4 linked regions of the Canis lupus familiaris genome follow. The main gene of each other region encodes a partner of the protein of the gene in region 3 in a complex. Links are inferred from orthologs where the notes say so. Each region holds a gene or a part of one and is shown on either strand. Other genes may lie near its edges. The genes, in order: POLR3K, POLR3G, POLR3D and POLR3F.

Evidence for each region.
Region 1: POLR3D (region 3) and POLR3K share a complex: the UniProt entries of both Homo sapiens proteins name them as parts of the RNA polymerase III complex. The link is inferred for Canis lupus familiaris from reciprocal best matches to the Homo sapiens genes POLR3D and POLR3K.
Region 2: POLR3D (region 3) and POLR3G share a complex: the UniProt entries of both Homo sapiens proteins name them as parts of the RNA polymerase III complex. The link is inferred for Canis lupus familiaris from reciprocal best matches to the Homo sapiens genes POLR3D and POLR3G.
Region 4: POLR3D (region 3) and POLR3F share a complex: the UniProt entries of both Homo sapiens proteins name them as parts of the RNA polymerase III complex. The link is inferred for Canis lupus familiaris from reciprocal best matches to the Homo sapiens genes POLR3D and POLR3F.

What each region holds. Positions count from the first base shown.
Region 1 is NC_049227.1:40,884,796-40,892,903, forward strand, and holds POLR3K (DNA-directed RNA polymerase III subunit RPC10), read left to right. Parts: upstream 1-2,917; 5' UTR 2,918-2,966; coding exon 2,967-3,077; intron 3,078-3,823; coding exon 3,824-3,911; intron 3,912-5,365; coding exon 5,366-5,493; 3' UTR 5,494-5,931; downstream 5,932-8,108. Other genes in the region: SNRNP25 (U11/U12 small nuclear ribonucleoprotein 25 kDa protein), read right to left, coding at 313-370, 843-917, 1,452-1,557, 1,797-1,887, 2,560-2,601. UniProt on the Homo sapiens protein: Core component of RNA polymerase III (Pol III) which synthesizes small non-coding RNAs using the four ribonucleoside triphosphates as substrates. Can mediate Pol I proofreading of the nascent RNA transcript.
Region 2 is NC_049224.1:18,658,397-18,666,334, reverse strand, and holds the start of POLR3G (DNA-directed RNA polymerase III subunit RPC7), read left to right. Parts: upstream 1-3,042; 5' UTR 3,043-3,163; exon of another isoform or gene 3,164-3,179; intron 3,180-7,938. Other genes in the region: CETN3 (centrin-3), read right to left, coding at 667-802, 3,023-3,039. UniProt on the Homo sapiens protein: DNA-dependent RNA polymerase catalyzes the transcription of DNA into RNA using the four ribonucleoside triphosphates as substrates.
Region 3 is NC_049246.1:35,177,001-35,183,178, reverse strand, and holds part of POLR3D (DNA-directed RNA polymerase III subunit RPC4), read left to right. Parts: coding exon 1-91; intron 92-1,033; coding exon 1,034-1,077; intron 1,078-2,032; coding exon 2,033-2,184; intron 2,185-2,343; coding exon 2,344-2,468; intron 2,469-2,655; coding exon 2,656-2,824; intron 2,825-3,176; coding exon 3,177-3,442; intron 3,443-3,893; coding exon 3,894-4,046; intron 4,047-4,209; coding exon 4,210-4,332; 3' UTR 4,333-6,178. UniProt on the Homo sapiens protein: DNA-dependent RNA polymerase catalyzes the transcription of DNA into RNA using the four ribonucleoside triphosphates as substrates.
Region 4 is NC_049245.1:5,106,963-5,114,380, reverse strand, and holds part of POLR3F (DNA-directed RNA polymerase III subunit RPC6), read left to right. Parts: intron 1-65; coding exon 66-133; intron 134-507; coding exon 508-528; intron 529-656; coding exon 657-724; intron 725-2,066; coding exon 2,067-2,179; intron 2,180-5,442; coding exon 5,443-5,586; intron 5,587-5,798; coding exon 5,799-5,906; intron 5,907-6,928; coding exon 6,929-7,120; intron 7,121-7,418. UniProt on the Homo sapiens protein: DNA-dependent RNA polymerase catalyzes the transcription of DNA into RNA using the four ribonucleoside triphosphates as substrates.

The sequences.
Region 1 (8,108 bases), on a different chromosome or scaffold from region 3:
GCTGTAGAAATCACAGTAAAAAGGTTTTATCGCGAGGGGATGATTTGGCCACAGGGCTCAAGTGGAAGCATTCTGGACCTTAGGACTCACCTGCACCATCCTCTGCCCTTGCCTCCCCTCTGTGCCTGGGCAGCAGCGGTCCCTCCTGCTCCAGGAACTGTGGCTTTTTGACTTTTCAAACTAAGAAGCAAACGATTTATTTTGTATACAGGGCCAGGTCCATCTGCCATGTGATTAGGATGTTTGGACCTAGGGCTTAGCTCTGTTCCAGCTGGGTGCAGGCCACCAGCACCTAATTGTCTTTCTGGAGGTTCATTTCTGCCTCAGCTTTTTGATGAAGGACACCTCATCCCGGTTCCGGATACCGTAACTAGAAAAGAAGAAGAGCTCTAGTGTGTGATTTGCAGAAGGTATGTGTGGAGCCTCACCTGAGACTTGGGAGGGTATTAAAAAAAAAAAAAAAAAAGGTAGGAACAGCTTGTGTCTGGGAAGGTGAGGAGTGGCAGTGGCCATCGTCTCACGGACCTAGGTCGTGCCAGCAGGCAGCCTCTCACCTTCCCACACACTGCCCTCCTCTGGCTCTAGGAAGCCCCGCTCTACCACTGGTGAGCAGTACTCACACTGCCCCCATGCCTCCCATTCCAGTAGGGAGAGCCCTCAGGAACCTCCCTGCAGGAGGGTGTTGGTTGAGCCAGGGACTCTCTTGGTCTTGCAAATTCTCCAGTGATTGATTTAAGACTCCTCCTCCCTCGGAAGAGGCCCCAGTCTTCTGGCAGAGCCTGGGTACTAAAGGGCAACAGACCAGGTGCCTCTCTGCAGCTCAAAATGTGGTGTGAACTTACTCTCGAAGCTTCTTCCTGTCCTCTGTGAGCTTCTCTCCTGCAGAGGTCAGGTAGTAGGTCCTCCACACATAGGACCTGCAAAATCCAGATGAGGATCTGGGTAAACCACAAGCAGGGTGATTGGGCAGCTGGGACGCAGCAGCTGTGTGTGAGATGGGCTCGGGATGCTCAGCTCTGGGGGGCCCAGGGCAGGCAGCCTCTTCTTGGCTTGTCCTGTACCCTGTACACACCAGGCCCGAGGTAGCTCGAAAGAGGCACCGCTCTGAAAGAGCCGTGTGGGGTGGCTGGGGGCCAAACACACCTTCCTAATGAAATAGGCTACAGCACGGAGACAGAGACGACCCATGCTGCAGGAGTGAGGAGACCACCCAGGGGAAGATGGGGTAGGGCCGCTGGCAGCTGCACCGTCTGTAACCAAGGAGACCACTTACGCTGGAAATGCTCCAAGGTGCCCCCATTTAAGAAGCCCAGTTGCCTGGGTGAGGTGATGTAGATGAAAGAGAACTGAGGCAGGACTCCCAGGCACCGTGGCACCCACCGCGCCGGGACGCTCAGGACAGGGAACTCCTCGGTGCTCTGTGGCACACATGCAACAGTGGCTCCACTTACCAGCTGATGTGCTGAATGCCCCCTTCACGCTCCTGCCTGAGCTGCACGTATCTCTGAATGGCCTTCTTCAGGTCCAGGACTGTGGCGTTCTGCACCACAACCACAGCTGCGGGAGAAGAGCCATGTTAGGATCCACAGCCACAGCCTAGGACGGCAGGAAAGGAACCAGAAGCTCTGTCCAGACTGTTTTGGACGGAGGCTCAAATTCAGGTGGGGTAGGCTTGTGGTTGCCCCGATGCCCTTCGACGTACATGGCTCTTGAGTTTCCCCTGAGCAGCCATGGCAGCGTCTTGTCTGCGTGACAGCTTGGACTGCAGGGTCCGCAGGGAGAGGGCGAGCACTTACGCATTATCTCTCCATCCATCTTGCACACGCGGACTGTCATCGCTTGGCCATATTCTAGTGCTATCTGGGAATTGACTTCTTCCAAAGTAACCTGCAGAAAGACCAATGGTGGAGGTGGGAGCCTTGGCTGCCTTTGCTATCCCAAACCACAAGACAAGACAAGCGGATAGCATCGGAAAAGCAGTGCCGTATCTTACGAAAGACGAGAGACAAGATTTCTTACTTCTATGCTAGGGTTTCCCGGTTGCACCTACATTTTAAAAGTGTTTAATGTGCAAAGTGCATTAAAGCTCAGGAAAAGAGGAGCGCTGAAACAGGAGAGGGTGAGCGCCAGATCTGGGCTCTGGGGCTGGGAAGGAGGAGGCGCGGTCAGTCCGGGATCCAGGGCGACACCGGGCGGGGGGGGGAGGGGAGGCCGGTGTGCGAGGGTGACCGGGGCGCCCAACCCAGGAGTGAACGTCCTCGGGCGGGGCGCGAATCTCGATGCGGAGTCCCGGGGTGGAGCCGTTCTCCCCACTTGAGCCTCAACTACGGAAACGACCTTAGAACCTGCACCTGCAGCGCAGCCGCGCCCGGGGCGCCCGGGGCGCCGTCGGGGTCCGCCTTGGGACCGGACGACCGTCCGCCTGTCCCTGTCCCCTGCTGCCCCCGCTCGTGCTCGGGTCAGTGAGGTCCTTAAAGGACACGGGAGAATCGAGGCCCGCCGCATCGTCACCTCTGGCGCCCACAGGGGGAGGTCAGGCACCGAGGTCCCGCCGCGCACCTGGATCGGGAGGTCGCAGAGCAGCGGGTCCTGCACCACCATGGCGAGCCCCTCCTGGAACACGTCCACCGCCTCGGAGTGCGGCAGCGCCTCCTCTTCATCCTCCTCGGCCTCGGGCGCCTCGGGCCGCGCCGCCGCCGCCTCCGCCTCGGCCTCGGCCTCCGCCGGCTCCAGGGCGCCCGCCCAGCCCCGCGCTCCGACCGCGCCGCCGCCGCTTCCGGCCGCGAGGGGCGGGGCTGCCACGGGGACCGATGGGAGGCTCGAGGCGGCCTGCCGCAGGGGCTGCTGGGAGCGCCAACCCGGCCCGGCCATTGGGGCGGCGGCGGCCCGGGCCAATGGGAGCTCGCGACGGGCCCGACGCCGGCGCCCCGCGGCCGCAGGGGCTGCCGGGAGCGCGCGGGGCAGCCATGCTGCTCTTCTGTCCGGGCTGCGGGAACGGGCTGATCGTGGAGGAGGGACAGCGCTGCCACCGCTTCGCCTGCAACACCTGCCCCTACGTGCACAACATCACGCGCAAGGTGATCACCCGCCGCCCCCCGCCCAGCAGCCGACGCCCGCCCCGCCGGGGTGCTCCAGCGGCCCCGCCCCCGCCCCCCGCCGTATCGGGAGCGGCCTGGCCTCACCCGGCTCCCGTGGCGGCGTCCCCGGCGGCGGCCCGGGCGGCCTCGTCGGAGCCGTGGCCGGATCAGGCCCGCCCTGTGCGCTGGCGCGGCTGACTGCGGGTCCGGGCCGACGCCGCCAGCCCCCGGGGAGCAGCCCGCGCCGCGCACCGACACGGCCGCCGGGCCTTTGCACGTGCTCCCGCTGCCCTCCCCGCCCCGCCCGCAGCCTCGCCGTGTTTGGGTCGTGCCGAGCAGCGTGGCTCTGGCGGACTCGGGTCACCTGCGGACACGCCTCTACGGGACTTGCGTGCCTGGGGTCGGTGCTGCGGCCCCAACCCGGGCCCTGGACGGAGCCGCGGCGCACCGCCCGCCCCGAGCTGCCCGCGGGAGTTGGGGCCGCCGCCGCGACGCCCGGGACGGAGCCGGGGGCCTGCGCGGAGGGCCCGGGCCGAGCGTGGACGGGGTGGGGTGGGGGGTCCCGGCTGCATCCGCCTCTTGGGCCGGCCCGACGCTGGAGCCCCTGGACCCGGGCCGAGCCCTGCGCCGCGGGTGTAGAGACGCGGCTGCCCAGGATCGTGCAGCCCGCGGGGAGGAGGGCAGTCGGCGGCCGGGTCAGCACCGCGCCCCTACCCGCGGCCTGAACACCTGCCGCCTTTCGCCAGGTCACCAACCGGAAGTACCCGAAGCTGAAAGAAGTGGACGATGTGCTCGGCGGCGCGGCGGCCTGGGAGAACGTGGACTCCACCGCAGGTGAGAGCTGAGGCCGCGCTGCCTTTGAGGAAGGAAGCTCCTAAAAATAGCGTGTGTATTTTCTTCTTTAGTGATTTATTTCTTACACAGGCAATATTGGCATAAACCCCAGAGACGTACAGGTGTGGGTTAGTCTCAAAGCCACAGCCTCTTAACATCGCATGACCTTGGTGGCCTCCCTCCGTTGTGAGAGCGTGAAGGGAGCCCCGCAGCACTTGGCCTCTAGCGTGGTCCTCAAGTGGCGGCTGTGCGGGGAGCAACCGATGGCAGTAATGAAAGTCGGAGCCTAAGGAAGAGTATATGGTCCATTTGTTCAGTTGTGGATCTTTTTTAAAATTAATTATCTCTAAAAAATATTTTATTTATGTATTCATGAGAGACGCAGAGACAGAGACACAGGCAGAGGGAGAAGCAGGCCCCATACAGGAGCCCGATGTGGGACTCGATCCTGGGACCCCCCGGGGTCACACCCTGAGCAGAAGGCAGATGCTCAACCACTGAGCCACCCAGGGATCCCTGGTGTAGATTTTTATTTTTAATTAATTAATTTATTCATTCATTCGTTTGTTTGTTTGTTTATTTATTTATTTATTTATTTATTTATTTTTCTTCCTGGTGTAGATTTTTAAAAGCTGATGGCAGAGAGCATTCACATGTTTATTTCAAGTCTTGTTTCCTGTCTGATAGAGGTAGATGTGACCAGGGAAGGAAAGAAGAGAGCCCTAAACACATCTGTGTTGAGCGGAGGAAGACCCAACTCCTGTTTAGTATTATCTTTTCTCCCCCATAGAAGAACATCTAAATCTGATATGGTAAAATTAGCATTGGCAGAATTTGCCAGGAAAGAAAAGAAGATGATTTTGGTACCTAATGTTCAAAGTGCTGTTTGTGAGTGTTTGAAGGCATTATCAAGCATAGGGTCAGTTTCCCGAACTGAAGTCACTTTGCCTTGAGGTATTTGGCAAAGGTGTGGGTTGTATGGTGAGGTCTTCATAAGAACGGCCTGAGGAACTGCTGCCGAGATGGATCCCTAAATTTAATGGGAAGTGGATTTGTCATCCCCTGGGGGCTCCTCCAGGAAGTTGAGAGGGCTTAGGTGATGGAGATGCACTTGGAAGAATCTGCCCAGAGTGGACCCCATCATGCACATGGTAGCCATAAGCCACATTTCATGTCACATTTCCAGCTAGTCTTCAACCAGATTTGAGAAGAAAAATGGGACTCAGGGAGGGGAGCAGGAGTGTTTTCCAGGGTCACAAGTCCCCTCAGTGTGAGAGTGTAGTGGGAATGATGCCACTAATTACAGCCTTTCAGTCATGGCGCAAGGTGCCCTAGGCAGGGGATGCCAGATGATTGGGGTCGGGGAGGGATTTGGTGTGTTAATACCTACCTACTTCTAGCAGGTGTGTTTGGTCATGAGCATAATGTGGGTCACTTGTTTTTCTCGTTGCCAGAGTCATGTCCTAAATGCGAACATCCTCGTGCCTATTTCATGCAGCTTCAGACTCGCTCTGCAGACGAGCCGATGACCACCTTCTACAAGTGCTGCAATGCTCAGTGTGGACACCGCTGGAGGGACTAGGGCCAGGATCCAGCTGTGTCATTGTCTGCCTACCTTGTTCCCTAGGGTGGATTCACAGCCAGGAGTGTGAACTGTTTGTCCTGAACTGTCTCTGCTGATGTGGCCAAAAGCTAACCCTTTCACGGGAGCTGGTCAGGGTACCAGCCCATCTGGCAGTCAGCGGATGAGCTCATTTATATCCAGGGGGATTGTGTGTGCAGGGAAGGGTATACATAAGTAAGTGTGTTCTTTTTAATATCCTGTTTGTGGATCTTGTAGGTATATTGGCTAATTGACATCTTTTCACCATTATCCTTCTTAAATATGCACTCTGATTGCACAACTAATAAAGTAAAATGTTATAATGTAGGACATTAGATGTATCTAAGTATTTAACTTAATTGTAAACTTATCACTATCTATTCTGAATATTTAATTAAAATGGAAAGTCTAATACTGCTTTTCTAGTGTTTATTTTTTTTTAATTTTTTGCCAAGAAGTATATTTTATTTTCGTTAATCATACAAATAATTTGCTATAATATCCCAGGGTAAACTGCAGAGTTTGGCAGTCTGACTGGGGCGGGGTGGGGGCTGGGGGGCGGCCCTCAGAGACCTGCAGGCTGGCAGCCTTCAGCGTGGAGTGCCTGGGTTCACAGCACAGCTTGTCACTCGTGGCCATCTCGCAGGTGGCTCTTCCTCTACATCACGACCCGGGTGTCTCGAAGATGTTGTGGGTGGGGAACCCTCTAGATGCTTAGGAAATTTTATTCCGTTTCTACTGCTCGATGGTCTCTGGTTGGCAGGGTGTTCTCCAGCGTCTCCATTTTCTTTAGCTTGGCCTTATCGAAGCTGGCGATTTCCCCCGTGTCCAGTTTGCTATTTCTTAAAGCGATCTGTGGAGTTCCACCCCGAGTCCAGTGCTGGGTCCTCCCACTCGTGTTGCTGCAGCAAGAGACCGCTTTCTCATTGTTTTGAGTGCTTTGAGAAGCAGACATCAAACAACTGCCATGCTTAGGGCTCTCCTGGTAACAGAATACTGATAACATGCTTTTCAATTTATCATTCTGTTCTTGTTTCCTAGGATTGCAATAAATTTATTAGGTAGACTATATTTATGCTTCCTTCATTTAAAAAAAAAAAAAACTTATTTATTTATTCATGAGAGAGAGAGAGAGGCACACAGGCAGAGGGAGAAACTGGCTCCATGCCGGGAGCCTGATGTGGGTCTCGATCCCTGGTGTCCAGGATCAGGCCCTGGGCTGAAGGCGGTGCTAAACCGCTGAAACACCTGGGCTGCCCTTCATCTTTTTATTAGTAAAAGGAAAAGGACATCCTGGACTGGAGCGGGGTAGGATGTTAGTTTGTGGATAGTTTCGTTTTTTGCTCAGGACCTCAGACCTAATTACTTTTCTAAATCTCTTAATAATGAAGTCTCACTTGTGAAATCATGGGATGCAAATTTATACCTCTGATAGAAATTTTTACATTTTTGAGACGGTATCTTTTCCAGACATGAATAATCTTTAAGTTTGGCACGATGGTGATGGTTTGTTTGTTTTTAAGTAGGCTCCACATTGGAGCCCAATGCAGGGCTTGAACTCATGACCCTGAGATTAAGAAGTGAGCTGAGATCAAGTCAGGTGCTGAACTGACAGCTACCCAGGTGCCCCAACATGATGGCTTTCTTTTGCCGTAACATGTAGATCAGGTTCTGAGCTCATCATCTCTTGGTTTGGTTATTTTCCAAAACAGTTTGTTATGGTGATGATGAAATTTTACAATGTGGGTGTTTCCTTTAGTATGTTCTGTTTATGCCATCAATTGGTTGATGTGTGCATGTGTGCACTGTCAGTTTTATTTCCTCAGATTTTTTTTTTTTTAAGATTTTATTTATTTATTCATGAGATACACAGAGAGAGGGAGAGAGAGGCAGAGACACAGGCAGAGGGAGAAGCAGGCTCCCTGCAGGGAGCCCGACGTGGGACTCAATCCCAGGACTCCAGGATGATGCCCTGAGCCAATGGCAGGCGCTAAACCGCTGAGCCACCCAGGGATCCCCTCCTCAGATTTTCTGTGTTTGCTGTTGGTCAGTGGTGAAGATCATGCACTCTGAAGTTAGCCTACATCTCTGCTTCTCAGCTGGGAGACCTCAGTCAAATTGCCAAACCTCTGCCTTCATTTCCTCACATATAAAGTGGTGATAACAATTTCAGGGGTCAAACTTTCTGAAAAGGGCCAAATGGTAAATATTTTATTTATTTATTTTTTAAATTATTTATTTATTCATGAGAGAGAGAGAGAGGCAGAGACACAGGCAGAGGGAGAAGCAGGCTCCATGCAGGGAACCCGATGTGGGACTCGATCCCGGGACTCTGGGATCTCTGAAGGCAGATACTCAACCACTGAGCAACCCAGGCATCCCAGATGGTAAATATTTTAGACTTTCGTGAGTCAAGACTCAAAATCTAGAACAAACTTTCACAACTTTTTGATAGATAAAATTCAGAATGTAATCATAGTAATTGAGTACAGCATTTTGTAATGCGGGGTCTGTTGAAAATAATGGATATCGGGGTGCCTGGGTGGCTCAGTTGGGTGTCTGCCTTCAGCTCAGTGTGTGATCCCAGAGTCCTG
Region 2 (7,938 bases), on a different chromosome or scaffold from region 3:
CTGCTTCTCTCCCTGTGCCTGTCTCTCTCTCTCTGTGTCTCTCATGAAAAAATAAATAAAATTAAAAAAAAAAAAAAAAATGGAGCTACCAAAATGTCGCCTTTCTCATGCTGAGTGTGAGATCTGTACTACCCTAAACTTTAATTTTCCCTCACATCTTTATAAATAATTCTAGGCCCTAAAGTTGACATTTTCCCCCATTAGCACTGCGTTGACATCAGACATCACTTATATTGTTTGCACTAGAGAAAGTATGTACAGAATGTATTACTAACGTGTTCCAATTAAAAGAACACTCTCACAATGTGAAAAAAGAATGAGTCATACACAAATGAAAAAAAAAAAAACCCAGCAGTGGCAAAAATACAGTAAGAACTGTTTAAAACCTATAGTTTGAAATCTTTTTATTACATGAGTGAAAATAAGGCCCTACCATAGTAATATACTTTTATATTTAAAATACTATTCGCTTCACAGTGTGAAAAGGAAAGTCTAAAAAGATGCTAGTATTTAATTTTATTATAGCACTTAACTGTGAACATCTCAAATGGTTTCATATTTCCACAACCAGTTTAGTTAAAATACTTTAGATGGGTTATTTTAGCCAACTATAGAAAATGCAAACAATTTTAACAGAAAAATATACATTTTAAAGTACATTATTACCTTTAGTTCATGATAATCTATTGCTTCATCTTTGTCTGTGTCAAACAGTTCAAAAGCATCTTTAATTTCTTGTTTCTGTTCTTCAGAGAGTTCTCTTCTTTTTTTTCTCTTTGTTTTGTCTACTACAAGCTCATTTCTATGAAATGAGAAGAAAAGTCTATTCAGTCTACTTTAATTCTATTCTCCTACACATCTAGATAATTAAAATTTCAAAATGCGACAAAGAAATTAAACAAGGAAGAATTTTTTTAATTTCTAAAAAGGAATTATTTGAGAGAAAAATGAAATTTTTCTTCCCATGAGTCAAAGCCTTGCTCAATCCATAGTCTAAGCTGCTATAAATCTGCACTTTCCAAAACTGAAAAGTGTTACATGTTATTATAAGAAAAAAAGGACCTAACTTTCTTTCCTTCTGGCTTTGTATTTATTCTGATATTAATGTGGAAGAAATAACTGTGAATAAAAAAATTATTCATCACAGAAATCGCAACAAAACTAAAGCACTCCTACTTATTAACATTACTCTACAACATAGTATTAAACTAATCAAAGGAAAATTCATAATTGAGGATCATTGCATATTTGGCTTACTTTTGAGAGCATTTATAAGTTATCAAAATTACTACCAAAAAAAGCGTATCACTTAACAATTAACTTACAAAGTTTGTGGCATTGTGGGTTCAAAGTGATTTACAGTACACATTGCTAAGTTTGGGGCTTTATTTATAATTTCTTCCATTGATATTAACAAATCAACCGAAATACTGAAGTCTAAATATACCATGAAAATTAAAAGCCAAAACAAGAATGTTTGTGCTAATTTTCTATATTTTTTAAATTTCTTAAAAGGAATTATTTGAGAGAAAAATGAAATTTTTCTTCCATGAGTCAAAGCCTTGCTCACCCCATAGTGAAGAGTCCATGGTTTTCTAAATTTCACTTGTAAATTTAGATATAGCTTCTCCTAAATCCTGGAAATTTCTTGAAAGTAGATTTTATTTAAAAAGGCAGAAATGGGGATCCCTGGGTGGCCCAGCGGTTGAGCACCTGCCTTCAGTCCAGGGCGTGACCCTGGGGTCCCGGGATCGAGTCCCTGCACCGGGCTCCCTGCATTGGAGCTTGCTTCTCCATCTGCCTGTGTCTCTGCCTCTCTAACTCTCAAGAATAAATAAATGTTAAAAAAAAAAGGAAAAAAAAAAAAAAAAGCCAGGTATGTCTTAAGAGATACTCATCTTAGTGTTCCAAAATTTCGAATGGTGCCGCAACATCCGTACAAGAAGTTTGAAACCAATTTCCTAACACTTTGAAATGTAAAGCCTAGTTGATTTTATTTAATAAAAACACCTTACCTATTTGCCTGTGTTTTGCTTTCTAAAAACCTACCACAAAACCGTCAAGAGACAGACGATCAGAAGATGACCAGGAGACCTATAGTAATAAACAGAGCGGGGGGACAACCTTTCACAAGACACCTGACTTCGCGCGAACAGGGACCCCAGTCCCCGCGGTCACCTTCTCTGGACGGCCAGGTCAACAGCAGGACCCGCCACGGGGTCGAGGCAGGGCTGCCACCATCATCTCCCAACCCAAAGCCGCACCTGTTCAGAAAGGCGTAACCACCTTTTTTTTTTTTTTTTTTTTTTTTTTTTTTAAGGTGCAACGTGTAAAAACATCTAGGTGCTGCTGCTGCTGGGGGCAACGAACGGGGTTAGAGATTGGAAGTCAATGAAAGGTAAACAAAACTAAAAAAAAATTTTTTTTTGAGAAATCAATTAAAGTCATTTATATGGGTCGCCCGTTATATCTTAAAGCAGGGCCCCAGGATAAGAGCAAGGAAGAGTTTAAAGCTCTTTCCAAAATTTATAGCTCGGTCTGACGGCTGCAGGGGCTGCAGGGGCTGCAGGGGCTGCAGGGGCTGCAGGGGCTGCAGGGGCTGCAGGGGCTGCAGGGGCTGCAGGGGCTGCAGGGGCTGCAGGGGCCGGAGACCCGGAGGGCGGAGCTGAACCCAGGGAGGCTCCCCGGCCTGACTTCGCGGAGAAACACCGCGAGAAGAAGCATCGCGATATTTCACTCCCTCCTCCCAACTAGAAACCCATCTCCTCGGTGGTGCAAAGCCCGACGCGCTGATACAGACGCTAACTACCTCGGCACAAATGCACGGGACTCCTCACCTGCGGAGCACCAGGGCCCCCAGGGTGAGGAATCCGAGCCAGGAAGGCTGGCCGAGGCTCCTCGCCCTCATCCCAAAATGCATCCCCTTCCAGCTCGCCTCGGCCCAGCTACCTCCCTTCTACACACGCCAGCCCTGGGGCCCGCTGCGAGGTGTGGAGGGCATTGCGGCCTCCTCATTACCGACCTCAGAGCTAAACTCATTTTCTCTTCGGACAGAGACGTTCCCCTCGAGAACGACTTTAACGCCCTGCCCAAGGCAGCACGACTTCCACAAGCCGTTCAACAGACACCAACGACCTCAGCGGCCTCAAGGACCTCCCACAAGGTAGACGCTTCGGAGTCGGATTGGTTGACGTTGCTAACAGCCCGCCCATTGAGGCGGAAGCGTCCCTGGTCCTCTGCTCTCATTGGGCGTGCTTCGCGTCAATCAAAGAAGCCGCTCGTCCCTCTTCTTCTGCCCCTCCTCCCCGCCCTTTATTGGCTTGTTGAGGTTTCCCGGAATCCTTTGCGGAGCGAGGGTCCAGGTGTCTGCGTGGTAGTTTGGGCGGTAGGTGGCTGCACCTTGCCTCCCGCTGGGTGACCGCCGACGAGATGGACGGCTCCGGGGGAGAAGGGAGGGAGGGAGGAGAGGCGCGCCGCGGGGCCAGCCTCCTTAGCCGAAGGGAGGGAGCGGCTGGGGAATGAGGCCTGCCGAATTTGACTGCGCTGTGTTCTAAAACCTTGGGTGGCCTGAGTCCATGGGGAGTTTGTTTAAAACGCAGATTTAAACGTCCCGTCCTCCCAATTCTGATTTTAGTAGGTATGAATTTGCATTTTTTTCCCCCTTACAATCCCACGTGCTTTTAAGGCAGGTGCTGTCGCTTATAGATTGTATATCTAATGGGTTGGATTATTAGGCTACTTACGGTAAAGCGGCACTTGACGGTACCTTAGCTCCCTTCTCCCTCCCTGAAGGGATCTGTTCTCTTGCATCCTTTGTTTTACAGGGTTGGAAGCTGCTTATACACGTTATATTATCTTAAGCTCCAAACTAAGTTCTTGAAGCTCACCTGGGTAATTTGTTTACTTGTTCATCACTCCTACTAGGCTTTCTTCAAGTGCAGGATGGTATCTTTCATTTAACGCGGATCCCAGTGCCTGATACGGTGCCTGATGCACAGGCGCTCAATGAATATTTGTTGCGTTGGGTGGGATCTTGCTGTGAAAACCCACAAATCACTGAACTAAGTTGTAACCCTTATAAAGGAGTGAAATAGCCTGAATATGGCGTTGAGGCAGGGTAAGGGGGAAGATGTATAAACACTATGGGCTATGTATAAAGGATATATATATATATATATATATATCCTCAACATATATATGTTTATATATGTTTTTATATATGTTTATATATAAATATGTTTATACGTATAAACATGTTTATATATTTAATACACATGTTTATGTTGGGATCCCTGGGTGGCGCAGCGGTTTGGCGCCTGCCTTTGGCCCAGGGCACGATCCTGGAGACCCGGGATCGAATCCCATGTCGGGCTCCCGGTGCATGGAGCCTGCTTCTCCCTCTGCCTATGTCTCTGCCTCTCTCTGTGTGTGACTATCATAAATAAATAAATATATATATATATGTTTATGTATATATTTATATATGTGTTTAGGTATATATTTTTATTATATAAACATATATATATATATATGTTTAAAGAAGGGAGAGAACCAGTAGGACAGAAGAAAGTCTTCTTGAAGGATTTGGCCTATATGTTAGGCTTAGAAGGATGAACTAAATTTGGACAGGTAAAACTAGTATGATGGTGTAACTCTAAAAATTAAAGGTTAAAGGAAACCCCCCCCCAAAAAAAAAAAAAAACAAAATTAGAACACCTAACCTTTTAAAGTATTTCTATAAATCACTGTTGACTCGAAAAGGAAAGGTAATATTGCCACTAATACGGTTTTTGGTAGTTTAAAAGGAAGGTTGGGGCACCTGGCTGGATAAGTCTGTAGGGCATGCATCTCTCGATATCTGGGTTGTGAGTTCAAGCCCCACGTTGGGCATAAAGCTTATTTTAAAAAAATAACAAGAGGGAGGTTTACAAATTATTAAAGTACTTTATACGACTTCATGCTGCCAATGAATTTTAATATTGAAATGAAATAGTCACTTTCCAAGGGAAACAGATGACTCAAAAAAGATAGAAAACTGAATTAGGTCGATAACTATAGATAGAACTGAATGATAGGATGATGCCACAATTCCATGCTGTAAAATAAAAAGGCGTCCAACCCACTCAGAGTTCTGGGTGAGTTTAAAAATTCATGAGGAGCAGGCGCCTGGCTGGCTCAGTTGCAGGAGCATGCAACTCTTGATCTTGGGGTCGTGGATTCAAGCCCCACGTTGGCTGTAGAGATTACTTAAATAAAAAAGAAAAAAACACCAAACAACTTTGAATTCATAAAAATTCCCAAGGAACTAATTCTGGTGCTTTAAATTCAAAGTATGATGAAGAACTTAAATTTTGAAGCTTGCACAGAGAACATTTAAAGCATTTAATATCACTGACTGTATGCTCCATGATAAGAGGGTACATGTTGGGATGCCCGGGTGGCTTAGCAGTTAAGCGCCTGCTTTCGGCCCAGGTCGTGATCCTGGAGACTCAGGATTCAAGTCCCATGTCAGGCTTCCTGCATGGAGCCTGCTTCTCCCTCTGCCTGTGTCTCTGTCTCTGTCTCTGTCTCTCTCTTTCTCATGAATAAATAAACAAAATTTAAAAAAAGAGGGTGCATGTTACTCACCATTTTATAAGCTCATGTTTCATGTTCGCTATGAACATATGTGCAAAAATTTTAGATGTTGACAAAATCAATTTGGGATTGTCTTAAGGGAACATTTCACTATAACCAAATAGAGTTTATTTTTAAAATGCAAAGGGATGATTCAAAATACAAATCTGTATTAATTAATCATAATTCTGGATTAAGGAGATTAGCTAAACATCCAAAAAGAGACTCAAAAATACTCAAAATCTATTTCTAATAAAATATATGTTAATAAACCAGATATAGGAGGTACATTTTTAACATGAACAACATACTTCAAATATGCTAGTGTTTCTTAAACCTGGTAACTGCAACACTAGAACTTTATAGGATGTGGGCAAATAATTTGGGAAAATAGATTTTTAAGTGTTAAAATATTTTCAACAGGATATCTTTCCAAGGGAATGACAGGAAAGTTAATGCATCACTTCTACATAATTGGGAGAATTAGTGACATGTCCACTCCTTGCTACAAGGGAGGCTGGAAAAAGAAATTTCTAGCTGGGGACACCTGGGTGGCTCAGCAGTTGAGCATCTGCCTTTGGCTCAGGGCATGATCCCAGGATCCGGGATCAAGTCGCACATTGAGCCTGCTTTTCCCTCTGCCTGTGTGTCTGCCTCTCTCTGTCTCATGACTGGATAAATAAAATCTTAAAAAATAAAAAAGAATAAAAACTCTAGCTGAAAAACTGTGTGCTCTGCTAAAACTTGGGGTCAGATCATCTATTACTAAAGATAAGATAGAGGATTAACATCTCTGTCACAAACATCATTAAAAGTTATCAACACTCTCTAAAATTCTAATCAGTGATGTAATAAAAAAGAAAAAGAAGTGATATATAAGATAAACATCATGTATCAGACTATTAGAATTGAAAATAATTCAATAAAGTAGCTGATTTTCAGAAAAATTTGCAAAATCAACAAGCAAGTTAAAATAATAGCAGTATGAAATTCCTACAAATAAACTTAAAAAGAAATCTGTAGGATCAGTAGGTAGAAAATCACAAAATTTTACTAATGCACATAGATCCATAGATTTATCTGTAAGTTTAATCAAAATGAAAATTCTCCATTTTTAATTTTTTTAAAGACTTTATTTATTGAGAGGTCACATGCGCACACGAAGGGAGGGGCAGAGGAAGAGGGAGAAGCGGACTCCCCTCTGAGCAGGGAACCCAGTGTAGGGTTTGATCCTAGGTCCCTGAGATCATGACCTGAACTAAAGGCAGATGCTTAACAGACTGAGACACCCAAGCACCTCCATTTTTTCTTGAATAATAAAAATTATTCTAATGATCATCTCAAGGATAATTGGATAAAAATAAGTTACAAAATGGTGAAAAAGAATAGTAATACAAAAATCACTCTATAGGATATTAAAATGTATTTGCTACTATTGTAATCAAAATAGTAAGTCCAGAACCAGAGCCAAAAGTAGATAGAACTTGTGGTTTAAGAGGATAGTAGCATTAGTATTTGTTTAGTCTTGCTCCTGAAACCTTAATAAAACAATAGCTGAGAAATAATTTCCAATACTAAAGTGATCTGGAGAGCTAACATCAACAGAGAAGATATTTCAAAAAATATCTGAAAGATCGGGGCACCTGGGTGACTCAGTGATTGAGCATCTGCCTTTGGCTCAGGTTGTGATCCTTTGGTCCTGGAATGGAGTCCCTCATGAGGCTCCCAGCAGGGAGCCTGCCTCTCTCTCTGCCTATGTCTCTGCCTCGCTGTGTGCCTCTCATGAATAAATAAATAAAATCTTAAAAAAACATATATCTGAAAGATCCAAAGAGACATGGAAGCCTGTTGACAAATGAGACAGATCATCAAAGTCTCAACTCCTTAGAATTTCAGATGACCAAAGCGTCAGAGTTGATCTGCCTGACAGAGTCCCAGAGAGGCCCTAGGCTTAGAGTTGTCTGGCACAGAATGGGATGGAAATGAGAAGAGAGCCAAATGTAAAATTTAAAAGCTGTTTAGGAAACCATTGCACTCGAATTGTTTCAGATTCCCTGCCCCGGTATAGTCTCTCTTCACATCTATCTAGACTCCCATTCTTAAAAATGAAGAATCAAAAACTGTCAGAGATAAAAAGAAAATCAACAGCATGAAAGATAAACTAAGGAAAACCATTATCTAGGAAGACTCAGAGTCAGCTTAGGAAGCAAAACAAATTCATAATAATATTAAGTTTCCTAAGAGGTAGTCAAAAAATACTATTTTAGAGAACAGCATACTCTTGAGAGAGGAAAATTCTGAGAATAATGAAAGACTGTTGAA
Region 3 (6,178 bases):
GCTTGTTGGGCGGCGGCCGGCGCCTCCCCTCACTCCGGGTCGCCTTCCCTCCATCCGCTCCAGGGACCTCACCCTCGGGGGAGTCAAGAAGGTACCCGACGGCGCCTTGCTGAAGAAACCCTGCTACCTCGAGTCCCAGGACCCTGGGGTTCACCTGACGCTCGCGTAGGGCCCGCCGCGTGCCAGGCTCTGTGTTGGGCCCAGGGAAACCCCGTCCCCAGACTTCTGCTGACAGATTCTAGGGAGTCTAGACACCGGGCGCAGGACCTTGACGTGGTTCTCAGAAACGGCTGAAGGGCAGAGAATCCTAATTACTTCCCAGGCAACTTGGGCAATGTTTATTTACTTTTTAAAAATGTGTTTGGGATACCTTTAAGAAACCCCTGAGAGCCAGCAGGCATAAAGTTTGCCCTCAATTTTAGAGAGTTCTGTATCCGCCATGGATTATGGTGGGCAAACTGTGATCTAGTGTAATGAATTCTAGGCAGGGCCTTGGAGGCTCAGTGTTCTTTTGCGTCGTGTTTATCACTGTAGATGTTAAGATCGTCCCGAAATTGGGGAGGGGAGGCAGCTGGTGGTGGTGATGTAGCAGAAGCATAAAGCAGCTAGTTTTCAAAGACTTGTTTGCCTTGGGAAATGCTGGTGGCAGTCTAGCTGTGTCTGTTTGTGGGTGCAGGCGGACTTTGTACTTGAGGCTTGCTGCTAGAGCTCTTTCCTGTGATATTCAATGATTTGACAAGAAGTGAGATTAGATAAATAAATTGTAGAAGTGCTCAGGGTTCTCCTTTCAGAGGGCAGAAGCTGAGGCCACTAACTAAAATGGGGTTTTGGTGCCCTGTTCAGTGTGTAAGTCCACTGCTATCATGACAGGATCTTCATTCCTTTTAAGCACATGCCTATCTCTGTAAACCATTATAACAGTAGGGAATGTAGAATGGTGGTCTTGGTCCATACAAGATCCCTTTTGAGAGTTTTCATTTTTCTCTGTACTTTGGGAAACTTAACAAATCAGTGACTCATATTTTATTTTCAGAAAACCTTCACCCCAAATATCATCAGTCGGAAAATTAAGGAAGAGTAAGTAGCTCAGCCTTCTAAAAACTTTCCCCTTGGGGCACCTGGGTGGCTCAGTGGTTGAGCATCTGCCTTCAGCTCAGGGCGTGATCCTAGGATCCAGTCCTCAGGAGCCTGCTTCTCCCTCTGCCTATGTCTCTGTGTCTCTCATGAATAAATAAATAAAATCTTTTAAAATAATAAAACAGGGAAGCCCGGGTGGCTCAGCGGTTTAGCACCTGCCTTCCACCCAGGGCGTGATCCTGGAGACCCAGGATTGAGTCCCACATCGGGCTCCCTGCATGGAGTCTGCTTCTCCCTCTGCTTCTCTCTCTCTCTCTGTCTCTTATGAATAAATAAATAAAATCTTTTAAAAAAATAACACAGATTTCCCCTATTGCTCTGAATTTGGGTCTTTTGGGAAATAACTACGTATGTGGCTCAGAAATCTAAATTTGTGTATTTTTTTTTCACTAGTGATTTTTGACCTTGGCTTCCAGGTGATTGTAACGTGCAAGTTTTAAAAAACATACTGATGCCTGGAAGTCCATCTCTGGAAATGGTGATTTAACTTTTTTGCGATGAAAGAGAGTGATTATCCTTTACGGCTGGAGTTGAGAGACACTAGTTTAGACAAAAATGTGTTCAGTTCTCACTTACATTCTTTTGTATCACAGTCTTCTTGCTTTTAAGCAATACTGAGAAGTCCACATTTAGGGGCAGTCTCTGTAATTCCACTTTTGAGTCGTAGTCCTGTTATATACTCTCAAGCAAGAAGATAAGTAAAGTGAACTGAAAGGAAACTGCCCCATCAAGGAAGTAGAAAAGGTGCTAGACTTAGGATTGGGTTCTGCTTCTTCAGATACAGTCACTGGCTCTTGATTCTCTGCTCGGGTAGAGTAGAGTGTGTGTCAGAGTAAGACCAGTTCTCTGAGGCAGAGTGAGTGAGTGGTTTCCCTTCCTCCATTCTCTTTTCCAGGCCCAAGGAAGAAGTAGCCATCAAGAAAGAGAAGCGTGACAGGGATAGAGACCGGCAGCGAGACGGGCATGGACGGGGCCGAGGCCGCCCAGAAGTGATCCAGTCCCACTCCATCTTTGAGCAGGGCCCAGCTGAAATGATGAAGAAAAAGGGTACAAAGCTTCTGGGGTTCCGGGAAGAAGAAATCCATAGATTTCAGTCCAGACTGCCCAAGAGAAGGGCAAGGGCAGTAAAATTTCCCTGCTCCCTGTGTGCTTTTCCTTGCTGTTGGCCTCTTCCATGCCCCTGGTGAACTGAGTTATTTCCCACAGGGAACTGGGATAAGACAGTGGATGTATCAGACATGGGGCCCTCTCATATCATCAACATCAAAAAAGAGAAGAGGGAGACAGATGAAGAAACAAAACAGATCCTGCGCATGCTGGAGAAGGATGATGTAGGTACCGGTAGGCTGGGCAGAGTGGGCTTCTGGGGAGCCAGGCTTGGGGGAAGAAGAGCTCTCTGATGTCCTAGAAGCCTGTGAGCAGCAGGAATCTTCAGTTAGAAAAAGCTCAGGTGGGCTGCAGTCCAGGTATGTGTGCATGCTAGCCAGACCATGTGACCCCCTGACTCTTCCCTGGTAGTTCATCGATGACCCTGGGCTGAGGAATGACACTCGAAACATGCCTGTGCAGCTGCCGCTGGCTCACTCAGGGTGGCTCTTTAAGGAAGAGAATGAAGAGCCAGATGTTAAACCTTGGCTGGCTGGCCCCAAGGAAGAGGACATGGAGGTGGATGTACCTGTTGTGAAAGGTACTCTGTCCATTAACGTCTCCTCTCCTTCCCTGTGGCTGCCCCCCAGGAATCCTCTCTAGGAATGAATCTCCCAGACTCATAAGCGGGTCCTCCCCCATTCCAGTTGTGAAGTACATGACCTGAACAGGGACACTAAATTCTCATTCTCAGAAAGTTCATGCTGACATGGATCCGTGGGCCTAGCCTCAGATACTCCTTTTTGATAAGCCACACAACTCCTGGACCCTTCTTCATACCAGTGCTTCCCTCCTGCTTCATGGTTGAGTGACAATGAAGCAGATGGGAATGAAGGGATGGGTACTGCAAGATGGCTACTTCATAGCTCTTCCATTTATGTTTCCTTGGGCAGTGAAAGAGGAGCCCCGAGATGAGGAGGAGGAGGCCAAGATGAAGGCTCCTCCCAGAACAGCCAGAAAGACCCCGGGCCTCCCAAAGGACATATCTGTGGCAGAGTTGCTCAGGGAGCTGAGCCTGACCCAGGAGGAAGAGCTGCTATTCCTTCAACTGCCAGACACGCTCCCTGGCCAGCCACCTACTCAGGACATCAAGCCTATCAAGACAGAGGTGCAGACTGAGGATGGGCAGATGGTGGTCATAAAGCAGGAGAAAGACCGGGTATGTGCATGGATGAGTTCTGTGGAAGCACTGAGGGGGCCAGGAAAGGAAACAGCCATCTGTTGCGGAGCAAAGGGGTGCCACCCAAGCTGAAATGCCAGAATAATACGCATTCATTCCACCCACAAGGTGCTTGAGGCTTTGTACTTCAACCCCTGTTACGTATTTTTACTTTTTACAATGAAATATTTAGTGTATACACAGATGAGAGAACATGAATTCTCATGTACCATCACTCAGCGTCAGCAGTAATAAATATTTTGTCTATTTGTCCATTTGTTTGCTTTGGGTTTTGTTGTTTGGCCAATGGCAGGCAACTGTGAAGAAAGGCCCTCTTAGGGAGCTCATTCTAATCTTTGCTGCTGACCTCTTCCTTTGGAAACGGTATCATTCATGCAGGCTGGAGGAAGAAGCTCCTTATCTTGTTTCCATCTTCTGATTCTCTTCGCAGGAAGCCAGGCTGGCAGAGAATGCTTGTACCCTGGCTGACTTGACAGAGGGTCAGGTTGGCAAGCTGCTCATCCGCAAGTCAGGAAAGGTGCAGCTCCTCCTGGGCAAGGTGACTCTAGATGTGACGATGGGAACCGCCTGCTCCTTCCTGCAGGTGAGAGCCTGTGGGGTCATGGTAGGGGCTCTTTAAGAGGTAAGGAGTGCTGAGGAGTCCATGCTAACTAAGGGAGAAGCATTCTTGGGATTCTCCTAAATCATAGGGCTGAGGAATGGGCTGTATGGTTTTGGTTCTCATTGCTGTTTCTGTTGATTGGCAGGAGCTGGTATCCGTGGGCCTTGGCGACAGTAGGACCGGTGAGATGACAGTCCTGGGACACATAAAGCACAAACTTGTATGTTCCCCTGATTTTGAGTCCCTCTTGGATCACAAACACCGGTAAAATGAGCAGATGGAGGATGATGGTGACTGTGCCCACGGCTGCCTGCTCCAGACGTTTTGTTCTCAAATCTGTGCGACCCAGAAGGGGCCTGTTTAGCCCACCCACTCCAGCCTTTGGCAGCCATTGTCCCAGTTTTCCCCACAGGGCCCACATGGCTTCCTCCCACGGCAGCTGTGAATGGCACCGTGGCCTTCCCACAGCATGGATCCTGCACATCCTTGCTGCTGGGGGACTTGTCCCTTCTATTTATTTTTATATTTATGTCTTATCTCTTCGAGTGACTGCACCCTCCCCAGGTAGAGAGGGGAGGGTCTATGGAAAAGTCCAGGCTCCTCCTGTCTTGCTGACTGTCTTGTTCTCAGGGTAGGAAGCGTAAGGACTGCTGCTGCTTTTACTCCTTCCTCTTTCCCAAGAAGCAGTGTTGGAGAGAGAGCTGGGAATTTTGAGTCTGGGACTCAGTGCTCAATCCCAGCTCCATCAGTTACTAGTTGTGTGACCTTGGACAAACTACCTAACCTTTCTCAGCCTCATTCCTCATGGGACAAAAATGAGGACAATACCTACCTCACAGGGTTGGTGTGAGGATTAAGTGGAATGTTGTAGGTGAAAACTCCTTGCACAAGGCCAGATAAACACAATGGGCACTCAATAAATGTTAGTTTCCCTTCCCTTTGCCTGAGTCTGTTTTCAAACAAAATAGAGATTCCAGGAATCTCTCGAAGACATGAATAGAGCTGCTTTGTCCTGACCTCCTGACTGCACTTACAATCCCCCTGGGCCTGAAGCTCTGAGGATACAGGTCCAGGCCCTTCCCTGCCCGTCTTCTCCTGAGCACTCTTAGCCAAGTACTGCCTATTTACTTGGTGAGGTGCTAGCTATAGTTCTACCAGAGGTGAAGTCAGAGACTGCCCCCCAGCACCGTACACCTGCCTTTGGTGAAACAAGGCCCCAGAACTCCTCCCCTGTCCCTTCCCCACAAGCCATGCAATGTCTAGCAGTACTCTTTTGGCTTCCATTTAAATAGTTCCCAAAAGAATCCTGTGAGTACTCAGAATTATGACCACACTCAAATACTGCTGAAAAAACAACCTTGGTAACATGGCAATTAAAGATTTATTGCATAACAACTTACTCGACACTTGAGAGATGACCTCCCATTTCAAAAGTTTTGAATTTGAGAGCCCCCCGCCCCCACTTCCTGTCCCGCCATCACCAGGTCTGCATCCCAATCCCAGCTGGCCACTGTGGCCTTTTAGTTCATGGGTCTATTACTTTGTTCCTTTTACCAAGTCATCACACTCTTGATCCTTTCAGTGTGTCGTTCCTGGAGGAGCAGCTGCTCTTCCCTTATCCCTTGCCTATGGGGCTGGGTTTTTTCCCTGGTTCAGTGGCAGGAGGCATCTTAGAGCTTAGGAAAGGCTGCCTACAGCAGTGTCTGTGGTTGTTCGACGCCAATGTCACAGCTCCCTTTTCTGTGAGCTTAGCCAACTGCCTCTGGAACAGCGATGGACCACACAGGCTCCATAAGAGTACCTCCTCCTGACTTTGAGGTGGCCCCAGAGGTTTGAATGAATATTCCTTCCTTTAGTCTCACTTTTCTGTCCTGTGAATCTGATTTTGTTCATGACAGCTGGGGTATTCCTGTGCCCAGCCCCTCAAACTGCATACCTAGCCAGCAGCTATGAAGAAAGATTGAACATTGTCCCTTCTGTAGGTCAGAGCTCATGGGAGCTCTGTTGGTAGTGTTGTTCTGGTCTCCTATTGCAAGGGACAGAAGGCTTCTGTGGGAACATGTAGAAGTTCTGCTTGCTCGAAGGCTGAGCTCTGTTCTCTGGGCTCCCGTGCT
Region 4 (7,418 bases), on a different chromosome or scaffold from region 3:
TGTGGTTGATTTGAAGTATCTCCAAGATAATTCATTGTTATTTTCTATTAAAAAAAAAACTTTAGGGTCAGTTGGATCTCTTAAGGAGCAATACAGGCCTTCTGTATAGAATAAAGGATTCTCAGAATGCTGGGTAAGCACCTAATTTTTTTATTGTAAGAAACTTTAATTATTACAAATGTAACCTATGTTTTTTTGGGAAAAAGTCAACATAGAATTGCATAATGTAAACCTGTCCTGCATACCATCCCCACCTCTTATCATGAGTTCCATTTCTCAGAGATAACTGCTCTTAATAATTTGGTATATGTCCTTTCTTCTAGGTATATATATAAATATATAGAAATGATTATATATTTATATACTATATATAATCTCTTTTCTTTTTTTTTCTTTTTTTTTCTTTTTTTTTTTTAACAAAAATGGGATCATGCTATCCATACTGTTTTGCAACTTGTTTTTTTCACTTACTATATCTTGGACATCTTTTCATTCTGGTACATACAGCCCTGTCTCATTCTTTTTAAGGTAAGCCCTTCTTTTGGTAAATAAGTCAATGTGATGACCTTGTCTGCTAATTCATTAAAGTAATTATGTAGATTATTAGATTATCCTGTATCTCTTTGTCTTTTTAATTCTACTTTATTCCCCTGCAGTAAAATGAAAGGATCAGATAACCAAGAAAAACTAGTATATCAAATCATAGAGGATGCAGGAAATAAAGGTAAGCAGGTAAAGGAAGAAGCAGAAAAAGTCATCATCTTTAAGACCAGAAATAGGAACTGAGTTCTGGCTTCCCAGGATACAGATCCATATGTAGAGAATGCTTCCATGTATGTTAAAAGAAGGGGAAGTAGAAATATATAATATACATATGCTTGCAGGACACCCAGGTGTGATGCCGTTGCTGTTGCCTCAACGCAGGCAGGGGCTAGATGGCTGGGGGCCAGGATGGAAAGAAACTTCTGAATTCTGAACTGTGGGAATGTACTATCTATTCAAAATAAATCAGCTAAAACTTAAGGGTTTTTTTTTTTTTTTTTTTTCCCAATCCTCACTTTCTTTGACGGCCTTCATTTCTTTAACTTCATCTTATCTGTAACTTGTGGATAATCCATCTCTCTAGTTTTTGCAAAAACCAAAGGGATGTCCAGTGCAGTGTGGCAGTGTCTGACAGAGGTCCCTCAGCAACTGTTCAGTTTTTCTCTATCCCCTTACGGAACTATATCTAAATTGCTGTTAATCCTAGAGTTTAGGATCTGAGTCCAATGATAATTTCAACAATGTATCAACAATGATATAATTTGAAATATCATTCTTGTATTATTAGGTGTTTAATATTTTTAAAATAGACATGACAAAAGCCATTCTCTATTTTTAAAAAATCTATCTTCCTATCACATTATGCCTCTGTGCTGGGAAGAAAATAAGGTAACACATTTTCTTTTTCTTTTATTTTTTAATTTTTTTAATTTTTTTTTTAAGGTAACACATTTTCTATAAAATTCCACATACAACCCTTCTTTGAAATCCTACCTTCTTGTAAAGGGCTTTTAGTGGCTGTGAGAATTGCAGTCTTCCTTTTTTTCATCTCCTAAATATAGTGTATAAATAATGGGTATATATGCACACACATGTTCACATGCAGTTTTTTGCACTCTGTTGGCGGTGATAGCTGACCTTGGCCCAAACTTAAGTTATAATCTAAATACGATCTGAAGTATAAATAATAGGAAACAGAATTTGGGGTATAGGAGGGGGTGGAAGAGACAATAAGTTAATTCAGTAACATTCAAGATTTTTCTCCATTAAAAAGTATCTTTTTCATATGTTTTTAAAAAGGTGCCACACTAGGATTCCAAGAAATTTCTGGTTAGAAGACATAGCGCATAACTTCTTTTATCATTTTGCATACTTTTGTTGTTATCTGAGATTCTTACCTCTAAGTCACTGTTTTTCCTATAACTATGCCCTAGGAATAGTATACATATTTTGCTAGTTTTGGCACGTGGACTACAAACACAAATCCTATGGCGTTGAACTCATTTTACTTTACTTTCTTACAGGAATATGGAGCAGAGATATCCGATACAAAAGTAACTTGCCATTAACAGAAATTAACAAAATTCTAAAGAATTTGGAAAGTAAAAAGCTTATCAAAGCTGTTAAGTCTGTGGCAGTGAGTATTTTTCTCTTTCCTTCCCCCAAGTGTTCACTGTATGTGTATTGCTCCAAGTATGTTTCAAGATCTTCTTGTTCTTTAGGCTATGTCATGATTTAAAACTACTAGTCAAAAAGATTTTTAAAAATTTCGTTTATATTGAATTGGTTTGGAGATGTTACTTACATTTATCACTGCCTGGTTAATTCTTTGTGTCTTACCCCCTTGAAAAGGTAAAACTACTGTATTCTTCAGTAAAGAATTTTTGGAATCATGAACATTTTTCATGGATTTTCAGCGTGTAAGATAGTTTACTTCATTCTAGCAAATTAGATTACTCATTCAACAAATATCTATTGTGTGTTTGCTCTGTGCCAGGCACTGTTTGGGTGTTTGGGATACATTAATGAACAAGTCAGGGAAAGATCTCTGCCCTGATAAAGTGTCTCTTCTAGTATGTAGTATTTCTCCTCCTCATCCTATCCCACCCCTATTACCTCCTTCAGGGATTTCCATTCAGAGCTGGATCCATCAGGGACACCAGCTACTGACCCCATTAACCTAGGCAGCAGAGGAGCTGAGATTCCCCTAAACTAAAGTTTGTTTGTTTGTTTTTGTTTTTATTTTTATTTTTATTTTTATTTTTGATAGTCACACAGAGAGAGAGAAAGAGAGGCAGAGACACAGGCAGAGGGAGAAGCAGGCTCCATGCACCGGGAGCCCGATGTGGGATTCGATCCCGGGTCTCCAGGATCGCGCCCTGGGCCAAAGGCAGGCGCTATACCGCTGCGCCACCCAGGGATCCCAAAACTAAAGTTTGTTTGAATGCGGATTTCAGCAAATAAGATTTTGATATTCATTTATCAAATGATATTTTTGCCTTAACACTCCTTTATTTATTTATTTTAAAGACTTATTAAGGAGCACCTGGGTGGCTCATGGTTGAGCATCTGCCATTGACTCAGTTTGTGATCCTGGGGTCTTGGGATCAAGTCCCACATCAGGCTTCCCAGAGGGAGCCTGCTTCTCCTTCTGCCTATGTCTCTGCCTCTCTCTGTGTGTCTCTCATCAATAAATAAATAAAATCCTTAAAAATAAATAAAGGTTTTATTTATATTTAGAGAGAGAGAGAGAGCACAAGCACAGGAAGGGGCAGAGGGAGAGAATCTCAAGCCGACTCCATTCTGGACATGGACCCCAGTGCAAGGCTCAGTCTCACAACTCTTAGATCATTACCTGAGCCAAAATCAATAGCTGATGCTTCCAGCTGCACCACCCAGGCATCCCCCCTCCCTTATTTAGAATATTATCTACCCTCTGCATTTTTAATGGATAATTTCAAATATATACAAAAGTAGAAAAAATAATGAGTCCCCACACACTGAACACCTAGCTTCACTTTGCCAATCTTTCATCTCCATCTTTATTTTTAATAACAGCTTTATTGAGATAACTGACATACCAGAAAATTCATCTGTTTAAATTGTATAGTTTGGCAGTTTTTAGTATACTGACAGAGACATGCAACCATCACACTATTCTAATTCACACATTTTCATCACCTCTGAAATGTGACCCCACTAGGAGTCACTCCCCAGCCTTCCTGCCCGTAGGCCCTGACAACCACTGATGTAGTTTCTGTCTCTATAGATCTACGTATTCTGGACATTCCATATAAACTGTATCATACAATATATGGTCTTTTGTATTAGGCTTTTTTTATTCACATGATGTTTTCAAGTTTTCAAACTAAAGTAGTTTTAGATTATAGCCCAGTATAAAATAAATACTCATGAGTCCATATGGAAATGTTTAAATAAATAAATGATTCCAAAAATTCCTTAGTGAAGAGTATAGTAGTTTTGGCTTTTCAGTGGGTGAGACACAAAGAGTTAGCTGGGGTGGCTTAGTCAGGCCAATTTCCACTCAGGGTCACGAGATTAAGCCCTGCATCATACTCCACACTCAGTGAGGAGTCTGCTTGCCCTTGTCCCTCCCTTTGCTTGCTCTTTCTCTCTCTGTCAAAAGTAAATTTAAAAGATCTTTTAAAAAATAAATAAATGACATCTTCCCACGAGTAGATTGAGGCAAAATAGACAAACTTCCTGTGCAGAAGAATTCTAGGTAATTTAGGTGGATGGACACTCTACCCTCAAAGAAGTGGAATATAACTCCCACTCCTTAAGTGTGGGCTGAGCATGGTGATGTCCTTCCACATATGGAAAGACTAGGGAAAAAATGTCAGTTTATGATGGAGAAAACGGAGAAGCACTACTTCAAGCCATCTGATCAAGGTTAACCTCAATACTGAGAAGTCTTATCAGTAGTGATCAGTTATCACTTGGTGATCGAACGCCCTTGACAGGATGTGATGAGAAGGGCACTTCTCCGTGGTCTTTCTCCTAGAGTAGTCATAAGAAAAACATCAGGCAGGTCCCAGTCAAGAGATATCCTATAGAATACCTGACCAGTCATCCTCAGTACTGGCAAGTTATCAAAAGCAAGGAGAGTCTGAGAATTTGCCAATGGAACAGGACAAGTAAGTGTAATATGGTATCCTGAATAGGTTCTTGGACCAGAAAAAGGATATTAGGGAAAAACTAAAGAAACGTCAATGAAGTATAGACTTTAGTTAATAATGATATATCAATATTAGTTCATTAACTGTAATAAATGCAACCTACTAATGTAAGATGTTAAGAGGGGAAACTAAGCACAAGGTAAATGTACCATCTTTACACTAATTGTGTAAATCTAAAACTGCTCTAAAATAAAAGGTTTGAGGGGTGCCTGGGTGGCTCAGTCAGATAAGCATATGAGTCTTGATCTCAGCTCAGGTCATGATGTCAGAGTCATGAGATAGAGCCCAGAGTCAGGTTCCATGCTGGGTGTGGCACTGGTTAAGAGTCTCTTCCTCCCCATCTCCTTGCCCCTCACCCACCCCAGCTCAAAAGAAAGTAAAAAAATATATATATATAAAAAGTTTTGAGAGTTTCTTTAAATCTTAGTTTTGAAAGACTTGGTTACCTTTTTTTTTTTTTTTTAAGATTTTTAAATTTATTTTTACAGAAAGAGCGTGCATGTGCACCAGGGGTAGGGGAGGGGCAGAGGGAGAGAAGGAGACTCTTAGCAGGCTCCACACCCAGCAAGGAGCTAGACGCAGGGCTTGAACTCACAACCCTGAGACCAAGAGTCGAACACTTAACCGACTGAGCCACCCAGGTGCCCCTGCAAGACATGTTTATCTTATAACCACATCTGCTGTTAATGTTTTTTCCTAGGCCTCAAAAAAGAAAGTATATATGCTTTATAACTTGCAGCCGGACCGGTCTGTGACTGGTGGAGCCTGGTACAGTGACCAGGATTTTGAATCAGAATTTGTAGAGGTGCTTAACCAACAGTGTTTTAAATTCCTACAAACCAAGGTGAGGCATAATTAAGGAAACATCACTGCAAATTTTTTTTTAAAGTTACTTCATAAAGAATGTTTAATCTTGTATATCATATTTCACATAGGACATGAAAATACTCAAACCAGTAATTTTCACTAAACAATATATTCTGTTGATTTCACACTATATAAACTGTGTTCAGAAAATGCTAGTGTTCTTATTGAGATATATTTCTACCCTAAAAGGCAGAAACAGCTCGAGAAAGCAAACAGAATCCAATGATACAAAGAAATAGTTCATTTGCCTCATCACATGAAGTGTGGAAGTACATTTGTGAATTGGGGATCAGTAAGGTAAGAGCTCAATTTTTAATTTTCATCTTATTTTTTAAAAGTTACTCTTCATCATAGGGATATAGTTTACAATGTATTCTAAACATATTTGACCCAGACCCCTTTTCCAGGTGATACCTATGAACCTTCTGCAGAACCCATTTAGACAGGTGACTGTCATGCCATCAGGCACTGTGTGATCTGTGTGAACTTAAGCTTGGAGGATAGAGCAGCAGAGCAGAGGCCTGGCATGCATGGCACTACCAAGATTCAAAAGTCTGTTCTGACAAGGTCTTGACTTTCTCAGAGACATTTCAACATAGGTGCCAAACATCAGTCATCACATCAGTTGTCATTTATTGGTATTGTGTCCCCTTGTAAGATGAGAGTGCTCTTGTCAGCATATGTTTTTGAAGACCTATACATAAAGACACTGTGCTGGATGTTCTTCATTATCAGAAAAAAACAATACATAGACAAGTCATCTTCATTTCCTGTCCCCCAAATCTTTCATTTATAAAAAAGTAGGAATTTGGACAATTTGATATCTAAAATAATTCTTTCTGCTCATTTTATGAATCCCCATAAAATTCTTGCCCCCAAAAATGTTACTTTATAAGACTTCTAGATTTCACTTAGAAAGTGGAAAAATAGAAAGTGTTGGGATGCCTGGGTGATTCAGTGGTTGAGTGTCTGCCTTTGGCTCAGGGCGTGATCCTGGGGTCCCGGGATTGAGTCCCACATCAGGTTCCCTGCGTGGAGCCTGCTTCTTCTCCCTCTGCCTGTGTCTCTGCCTCTCATTAATAAACAAAACCTTAAAAAAAATAAAGTGTCAAATTCAGCATGAGGTTAGAGTTCTGTCTCTAGCATTTCTGTGGTTTGTGCTAACTTGGGCTGCTGTTCAACCCCTCACTTCTGATTACTCACCAGCATGATGTTTCGTCATTTCACTGAGGAACTGTGAACCCTTTACTCTTTACACACTCTCCAAAAGGATGTCTTCTTGTGCTTTCTGTGTCCTTTCTAATGCATCTCCTTTTCAGGTAGAGTTATCCATGGAGGACATTGAAACTATCTTAAATACACTCATTTACGATGGGAAAGTGGAGATGACTATCATTGCTGCAAAAGAAGGCACTGTTGGCAGTGTAGATGGACACATGAAACTGTACAGAGCAGTCAATCCAATCATCCCACCCACAGGTTTGGTCCGGGCCCCATGTGGACTCTGCCCGGTGAGTTAAAGTGGCTCCACTTCATACCTGACTGTGCAAATGCCACCTAACTTAACAGCAAGCACACCCCCATTTTCTGACTTTCAGAGTTGACCAAGAGCAGCTCAAACCTCCATGTAACCTTGATGATGGGCCCTTGATGAACAAGTCCTTGCTTTACATTTTTATTTACAATAACCACGCTAGGGAAATTTGTGATTTTTTTCCTGTAGGCCCTGAAATGGACAATGTTTAATGAGGGCTGATCATTTAACCTAAGTAAGGAGGGAAATAAGATTTGTTGAGAACCTACCACAGG